Regions from separate parts of the Mus musculus genome. Here region 2 is reported to be linked to region 1. The links are microRNA targets in miRTarBase. Many come from high-throughput screens and were not tested one by one. Region 1 holds a microRNA gene; the other region holds the end of a gene's coding sequence.

The links. Region 1 holds the annotated microRNA mmu-miR-28b (AGGAGCUCACAAUCUAUUUAG, at 1,717-1,737, opposite strand). A microRNA usually pairs through its seed, bases 2 to 8, with sites in the 3' UTR of a target mRNA and lowers its output. Matches are read on the target gene's strand: a 7mer-m8 pairs with bases 2 to 8, a 7mer-A1 pairs with bases 2 to 7 and ends in A, and an 8mer does both.
Region 2: miRTarBase lists Prss43 as a target of mmu-miR-28b. Seed matches in the 3' UTR shown: 8mer at 3,544-3,551.

Annotation. Positions count from the first base shown.
Region 1 is chr8:73,013,865-73,018,259 of GRCm38, reverse strand. It overlaps Mir28b (microRNA 28b), which reads right to left and starts at 1,748; the gene lies at 1,669-1,748. All of the region lies in intron 6 of Large1 (LARGE xylosyl- and glucuronyltransferase 1), which reads left to right.
Region 2 is chr9:110,830,617-110,835,011 of GRCm38, reverse strand. It overlaps Prss43 (protease, serine 43), which reads right to left. Exons shown (of 6, transcript NM_199471.1): 6 at 3,505-4,230. The coding sequence ends at 3,994. It overlaps Prss45 (protease, serine 45), which reads right to left and starts at 424. Exons shown (of 6, transcript NM_153172.1): 1 at 273-424. The coding sequence starts at 378.

The sequences.
Region 1 (4,395 bases):
TTTTGTAAGTTTGTTTTAGGTGGGTTCTGAGGATCCAAGTCAGATCACTGTGCTTGTAGGACAATGATTTTAATTAACAGAACTAGCTTCCCAGCCCCTGGCCATATTTGACAAACATAACAAGATGGTTGTAATGTGAGGCCAGAGTTGAGAACGACTGTGATCAGGTAACTGACCTGGGGCTACTCTTTGCTATGTGGAAAAAGACATTGCTCCTTGCTTACTTGTCTATGGAAACAGAGAGGCAGAGTAACATTTGGGAGAAGTGTTTGGAGACAGGATTAAAATCCTGGAACCCTTGCCTCTGTGGGAAAGATGCTGTTTACTTTGTGTTAAGAGCTCAAACAGTGATCAAAATCCAATCAATATCATAAATAGAAGAAAAGGTCAAGGCTGGACTGGTCATGGGATCACGTAACCACAGCCAGGCAGAAGCTAGCATATGTACTGATTCAAGTTTTTAACTGGCAAAGCCCAGACACTTGGCACCCTAGCCACAGCATGGAGGTTTGCCTGGCTATGTTGCTCTTGCTAAAAAAGGAGAAATGCCATTTTCTCAGCAATTGCACTCCTTGACTCATTAGTATAGTTGGCATGTGGTTATTTGTTAACTTCTCTGAAAATATCCATGAGAAGAGAGAGCCATGGCAGGAGATGTTACTGTTTGCTGACTTTCTGTTTTGTATGTTCCTCTCCAGAGTTAAAGGGACTGTGCCCATCCCCCTGACACCTGGTCCATTTCTCAAGAAGCAGCTGAACGTCTCCTCAAACCCTAGCTAGTGTCTGAGTTCACAAGGTCGGCCATCACAGCTTTGTGGATTTATTCTAGGTCATCCAGAGGACAAACCTTAAGAGCCTGGAGTTTTAATTACAATGTTTTTAGTTTGGATGACTTTGATTGAGAATCCATAAGAAATCTCATCCAGAATGATTTAAAGGATATTTCTACATATGTTAGTCAGGCTTGCCATGGTCTATATAACAAGATGTATTGGAGAAGGCCATTTCCCCCACTGAGCCCATCCATCTTGGCCCACTGGCTCCTTTAACGAAAGAACATCACGGTTGTTGACAGATGAGTGTGAAGCACAGATACCTGGGGCACAGGGAACTTTTTACACCAGGTCTCTTATTAAAAGAACTGTCCTGGTTCCATTGCCAACCTGACTTTCTAACCTGAAGTGTAGATGCAGGCCCATTGATGCTTTTCGTACTTGGTGGACTGAGTCCCAAAGCAAGAAATTCCTTTTGCTTTATTTACAGAATGGTTAATGTTCTCTGTAGTCTTGATAGGTTTTAAAATCACCATGACAACTCCTGTGATAGTATATGAGGATGTTATCAGAACGTCTTAAAAGATCAGGGAAGAGCCAATCTGAATATGAGCTGTGGTCCTGGACTAAACAAAGAGACAGTGAAGTAAGCATCAACATTCATCCCTCTCTATACATCTATACATCTCTATACATCTCTATACATCTGTACATACCTGCACTATTTTCTATACAATATGTGCAATTAAACAACATCCTGCCTCCAATGAACTCTTGTTGTCCTTTCCTACTTTGCTTGGAATATTCTGTGTAAAATGCTTTTCTAGACTCCCTAAGTTGTTTTTACCCCCCACCTCCAAGTGTTACAAACCTTCCTTTCCAAAACAGTGTCATCAGCACACTATTAAGATGCCTCACACATTCTGGCAGTGTGCGCCTGCCACTAAATAGATTGTGAGCTCCTTTTCTATAGTCCATGTGACCAGAAGAGCCAGCAAGATCTTGTTTGGCTGATCTTAACTTAAAAGAGCAGGGGTGTACAGCACAGTCAAGCACAGTGGCTGGTGCCAAGGAGTGCTGTATGTGGCATTTGCTATTCTTTCCAAATGAGTGAATTCTTGATCTCAGTATTGCCAACATTTTGTATAATACTCAGCATGGGCATAGTTGGGGTCGATGTGGTTCATTTCTCTGTTTTAAAAACCATTGCACTGCAGCAAAGATTAGACAGTCTACCTTTAAAAATGCTATTGTTTTCATTTTCATTTTCTCTCCTGCCCTCCCTCCCTCCTTCCTTCCATCCCTGCCCAACCCCTCTCTCTGTGTGTGTGCCTATAAAAGAGCCTGTTACCTGACTTGTCATGCTCTCCCACTCTTTACCTTATGCCTTTAAGACAGGGTCTGTCAGTGAACCTGGAGCTATGCTAGTGACCAGCAAGACCCAAACAGTCTTTCTGTGTCTGTATTCTACAATGTTGAGATTTTAGGTACATGTGCAGCCACACTGAGCTATTTACATGGGTACTGGGATTTGAACTCAGGCCCAATGAACCACTTCCACTTCCCCCTTCCACATCCTCTTTTGTTATTTTTTTGTTTTGTTATTGTTTTGTTTTGTTATTGTTTTGTTTTTTAACATGGCTTCAAGCCAATTGGTGGATCTGAAAGACAACATACAAAGGACAAAACTTATCTCTCAAGGAAATGTATGGATGCAGAAATAGGGAGACAGAGATATTCACTCTCTTTTGTACCGAGTTTGCCAAGGTGAAGGCATAGGAGAAGCACAAATGTGAGACACTTAAAGGGGCTTTAAAGTCTAGGTAAGAGTTTGTGAAGGAAATTCCTAGGAAATGGAGAGTATATTTATGGCAGTTTTCTGAGGATGTAGCTAAAGCTCACTGTTCATTGTAATTAGGTGTGTAGGAGGCTAAAAACCTTTCAAAAGCAGGATTGAGTTCTGCACACCTTCCTTCATCTTTCTCTCAGTCATATACTAGGTTGAGCATCCCCTACCCCAGGAATATCCTCATCCTAAGCCATGCTCCAAAAGATAGCCGGTGTGACTCAGTTACAGATCATGAAGAACAGACCATGTAAATCCTAATACAAAGAGTGTCCTTTGACAGGGAAGTGGAAGGAAATTTGGCTATAGAGAAGCAGTGATTTGACAAGCAGTTCAACTGGGGTAACATAATATAAGACAGAGCAAGGAGCCATAAGCCAAGAAATGCAGGTGGAAGCTGCACTTGGAAGTAAAAGACAGCATGGGATGGATTCTTCCCTCATCTCCAGAAGAACCAGCTATGCAATACCCTGACACCAGCACAGCAAGACAGATGTCATGCTCCTAGTCTGCCAAACTGTTGCAGAATACCCTTGTATATTTTCTAGCCAGAGAGTCATCTGTTACAACAGCAGCAAGAAACTAACATTCTGGGCCACTGAGACCTGAGTTCAGTCTCCAGAGCTCAGGTAAAAATGCTACCTGTGGTTGAGTACATCCCAGCAGTACTACAAGGGAGGTGAGAGGCAGACACAGAATCGCCAAGAAGCTTGAAAGCCAGCTAGCCTGGAGCATACTATATAGCAGAAGCAAGAGCCACCCTCCCTCAAACAAGCTGCAAGGACAGAACTGAGTATTAAAAAAGTCACTGCCATGGATTCATTTTCCCCCATATCTATCTCTTTCTCTCTCTCTCTCTCTCTCTCTCTCTCTCTCTCTCTCTTTCTCTCTCTCTCTCTCTCTCTCTCTCTCTCTCTCTCTCTCTCTCTCTCTCTCTCTCTCTCTCTCTCTCAGCTCTTTCCATAGTGGCTTTCCATGTCTAATTAAACATCTGCCCCAAAAGAAAGTTCGGTTTCTTTGTGGATGTACGTAAGGAAAGACAGGTAACTTTGGGTTGGTTTTTTTTTTGTTTGTTTGTTTTTGTTTTTTTTAGGCAAGATCTCATGCTTCCCAGGCTAGCCTGCAATTATAACTGTAGCTGATCTGTCTCCCCCTTGAAAATGCTGGAATTATACACATATGCCACTATACTCAGTTTTCTTTTTTGGTTTGGAATGCTTGCTTCAGATCTTTGTGATTCATATACAAGTACTCCATGGAAGATACTGTTACCTGCTTCCTCATTTTCCCTAGTGCCTGCTGGGTCCAGGTCCTGCCTGTTGTACCTCAATTGTTGTACCTGACAATTGATTGACAAACGATAAATGCTTGCACTGTTATATTTGAAGGCTCAGAATCCTGACTAGTACAATAATCTATTTTTAAAGAGAGAAATTATAGCTTTATAATAGATGTAGCCACCACAGTACTCTAAGTGACAATTTTCACCTCTGGGTGACACCCTTCGTGCTGCACTTCATTCAGTTTTGTTCTCAGAGCAAAACAATAGCTGCCACTGTCTTCAGATGGTCACTCTGCTGCCATTAATTTGTCCTTACGATTTGGTTTTCCAAACAGGATGGCCTAAAATATTTTGGTTTTCCATACATTGGTCAGAGAGAATCATTTTGAAAGACAATTTCACTGACATAGAATTTTAAGTAACCTATGTGACCATGTTTTTAGATGAATTATCAAACATAGCATCTTGAACACATGAGCGTATCTCTGACTCCA
Region 2 (4,395 bases), not on the chromosome of region 1:
GGATGGACACACGGAAAGCGGGAGGCGCCTGTGCGTGAAGGGAGGCCAGGGATGCTCCGAGCATCTCCGAGCCTGTTGTCTCCAGGAGGCTACAGCACGACACAGCAGTGGCCTGAGGAACCTAGGAGTGGCAGAAGAGAGGCGACAGCGAGGTGGGGATGGCACACAGAAGTTTCAGGTGGCGGAAAGGAAAGGAATAGCCAACCTGAGCAAGACTGGAGGGGAGAGGACACAGAAAGAAAGGACAATGGAGAAGGAGGTGCCTGCCTGACCTAAGTTTGGCCGCGGAGGCAGCAACAGTAGCGCCGCAAAGCAGATTAGGATCCAGCGCCTCAAGGATCCAGGCCCAGCGTCCAGGCCGCGCAATGACGTAGCCATACATGAATATTGTCCCTAAGGGCAGCAGAGATAGCTGCGGCGTGCTGTCACGTGCCCACATCCCAGTACGCGATGGCGTCTTCGACACATGACTGACCTGGCGCCAAGAGCCTGACCGTGCCTCTTCAGGTCCTTTGAGTTCTGGCATCTGGACCCACTCTCGTCCTTAATATGACTTCAGATCCCTTGACTGGGACTGGGTCTTAGATTCCAGATCTATGACAGCACCCCTAGTGCTCTAAGATCCTGGCGGTGCATCTGGAGCCTAACTGGTCAAAGATCCCTGGGCTGGGATTGGCATCTTGATGCCCATCCAGCCTCAGGGTATACCTTGTTCTCAGCCTGTTGCACAAGGAGTTTCACGGTCACTATTAACAAGGACCGGGAAAGCCCAAGAAAGCAAATAACAATATGGTTAGGAAAAACGGTTTTGAGAACGTAATAGCTGAACTGGATCTAAGACTAAATCAAGATAGGAGCAGGGTGCTGAATAAAGAAGGCAGCTGTCCTCTTCCAAGGACCAGCAATATGACAGGATGTTACCACTGACAAATACTGGCTAGTTTTTGTTGTTGTTGTTGGTTTTGTTTGTTTCTTTTTGTTTTGTTTTGTTGCCTGGCTTTGGGCATAAAGAGAGCTTGTCACAAAAGGATGATCTTTGTGGATTTACTGAGCCTAGCAGAGACTGGGAAGCGATCATCAAAATTCCTCTGTTTCCTTTGTTTATTCCAGGTGTCCAACAGAGCTCTGGGGACCCCATCACCCAGCCTGTTCGTTTACATTTTATTTTTATGTGTATGAGTATTTTATCTGTATGACTGTCTGTGCACCACAGTATGTGCCTGATGCCCACAGAAGCCAGAAGGCGGCATCAGATCCAATAGAGTTGGAGTTAGAAGCCACCATGTGGGTTTGTGTGAATCAAATGTGGGCCCTGTAGAAGATCTTAATCCCTGAGCCAACTCTCCAGGCCCCCAGCCTGGCGTTTAAATGAATCTGAATAAGTAAACGGTGCCAATCGCATATCGAGGCAAGCAAGAGAAGGTTGCCTTCTGCCGCTGTGTGGTTCCCAACGTTAGGCCTCCTCCATACAGCTGGACCAGCAACGCCTGGGAACTTGCTAGAAATCTTCATCCTCAGGCCCTGGCCAAGACTTCCAGAGTTGAAGTTGAAAACTCCCTTAGTGAGACCAATGATATGGATTTGTTTGTTTGTTTGTTTGTTTGTTTAATTTTTTATGACAGGGTCTATGGTGGTTTGAATAGATTTGCCTCCCCCCTCACCCCCATAGATTCAGGTGTTTCAATGTTTGACCATGGAGAGTGGCACTTAGGAGGTGTGGCCTTGTTGGAGGAAATGCATCACTGTGTGGGCGGGCTTTGAGGTCTCCTGTGCTCAAGCTCCGCCCAGGGTGGAATCAGAGCATCCTCCTGGCTGCCTGCCAACTAGAGTCTCTTTCAGCTGCCTGTGGATCAAGATGTAGAACTCACCGTTCCTATAGCACCATGCCTGCCTGCCCACTGCCATGCTTCCCGCCTTGGTGGTAACAGACTAAACCTCTGACGCTGTAAGCCAGCCCCAATTAAATGTTTTCCTTTGTAAGAGTTGCCTTGGTCATAGTGTCTCTTCACAGCAATAAAACCGTAAGACAAGGTCCATTTCTGTGTAGTCTTGGCTGGCTTTGAACTTGTGCTAATCCTCCCACCCCTGCCTCCCAAGTGCTAGGATTACAAATGTGTCCCATCACTCCTGGCAGCAATGTGGATTTTAACAAACTCTCAGCGTATGCTCACACAGGTGAAGGGTGGACCATGAGGCTAAGAGTGGGACTATAAAATGGGGGAGAGCTACCTGTCCACATAGAATAACGCGCTACAGTGAGCAAAATTAAAATTGTTAGTCTACGAAGAGCTGGCGGTTTCTGGAGAGTGGAGGTGGTTTGGGTTTTTGTTGTTGTTTTGACACAGCACTTCCTGTATCCCAGGTTAGCCTCAAACTCCATCTGTAGCAAAGGAACAACTGATTGTCCTCGCCTCCATCTTTCAGATGATGGAGATACAGGCAAACACTACCTCAGCAGGTCAATGTCCAGTGATAATTTTTTTAAAAACATCTTTGGTGATGTATGTGTTCATGACAGAGATGCGTCTGACAGCAGGGTGTGGAGGCACACACCTTTAATCCCAGCACTAATTCCAGGACAGCCAGGGACCCCATAATGATATCCCATCTCAAAAAACAAACAAACAAACAAACAAAACTGGGGGTGGAGGATGGGTTCATCCTTCCTTGGGCAACGGTTGGAACTGAATGCCCACAAAAGCCATAGAGGACAGAGGATGAAACAGAGACCCCAGAAAGACGAAAGTGGGAGAGGGAGATTGGAGGAGACCTGTGAGCAAATCAGTATTCAGTCAGGGATACCAAAACCCAGTGTGAGGTAGAAGAGCTGCATACAGTGTAGTGAATCTTTCTTAAAATCCTCCTGACTTTGGGAACACGGCCTTTGAAAATAAAGTCACATTAATAACCAGAAGAAAGACTTTTTCTCATGAATCAGTTTCATCCCTGCGGGCCCTCCCGCCCCCACCCCCACCCCAGTTCCTGCCTCCCCTGAGCTGCTCCTGGCTGGCTGTAAAAGTAGTGAAGCCCAGCAAAAGTTCCTGCCCAGGCACACAGGGAGCAGGACTCAGCTCTTCTGTCTCTAAGAGGAACTGCGAGTACTTCCCTAGGTAAATGGGGTCCAGTTCTCTAAGCCAAACACCCCAGGTGAGCAGAGCTTCACAACACACAGGACGTTCTCCAAACATTTATTCAGTTTACGTTTGAGATCTCCCCTCTCCAGAACCTCAACGCAACTTGGGATGACCCTGGATGTGACCACTGAGGTACTGAGGAAGGGGGCCAGGCAGGACTGCCTTCTTGTGAAGCCTATGAGGCAGAGGCTATGCATTCCCTGGCAGATTCCCAAGTGGGTACAAGATAATTTCTGCCAGCTCCCAAATACTTAAGTGCCAACCTCATACCTCTGTAGGGAGTTGCCAGTGTTCCCTTCCTCCAACCCTCTCGTTCTCCATCTCTCTCTCTTTTCTCTCTTTTTCTTTTCTTTTTTTTTTTTTTTTTTCTTTTTTGAGATAGGGTTTCTCTGTGTAGCCCTGGCTGTCCTGGAGCTCACTTTTTAGATTTTTAGACTGGCCTCAAACTCAGAAATCCGCCTGCCTCTGCCTCCCGAGAGCTGGGATTACAGGTGTGTGCCACCACACCCGGTTGTTCTCCCTCTCTTTCAGTGGTCACTAAGCTGTGTGATGTAAACAGAGCCAGGTGATATTATCTCTTCTTGGCAGATGTCCCCAAGATCATGGAGTCATGGTTCTCCACCTAGCAGGCAAGCTGGCCCTCTAGTCCAGGTTAGTCCACCAAGTGTGGGTGTATCATGAGGCAAGTAACCAGAACACCAGTCAGAGCACTTTGCAGCCCCCAATCTCCCTGCCACAGTCTACTGTGGCAATAGCTGCTAACTGGAATTTGAAGAAAGGGCAGAAAGACAGAAAGGGAAAATGGAGAAAAGGCACAGTGGGAGACTCAAAACTCTCAGGAAGACAGGGCCTAAGGAGGTCACAGAGCTACCAGGAGGGCCAAGGGAAACACCAGAGACAGGTATAGGACCAAGACTCCCATGGGATCCATACGGGAAGCCTGACTTAAGACATAGCTGACCCACTCATTGTACTCAGCGATGTCTGTGTAAACTGAGAGGACAGGGACTCCATTGCAGTTGATGCCCCAGCTCATGATCCCCACCTGGGTCCACGTGTTGTCAGATTCGCAGACAAGGGGGTTCCCAGAATCTCCCTGGAAAACAAGAGGAAGAAACCAATGGCTGGGATGGAAGAGAGAGCAGACTGCATTGCAAGGTGCTGGGACACTTTCTTGGGCACCCAGAGCCTCTCCCAGGCCTAGCTTCTTTTAATGACTGAGATCTAACAGATGAAAATCTCCTATGAAAACATCAACATT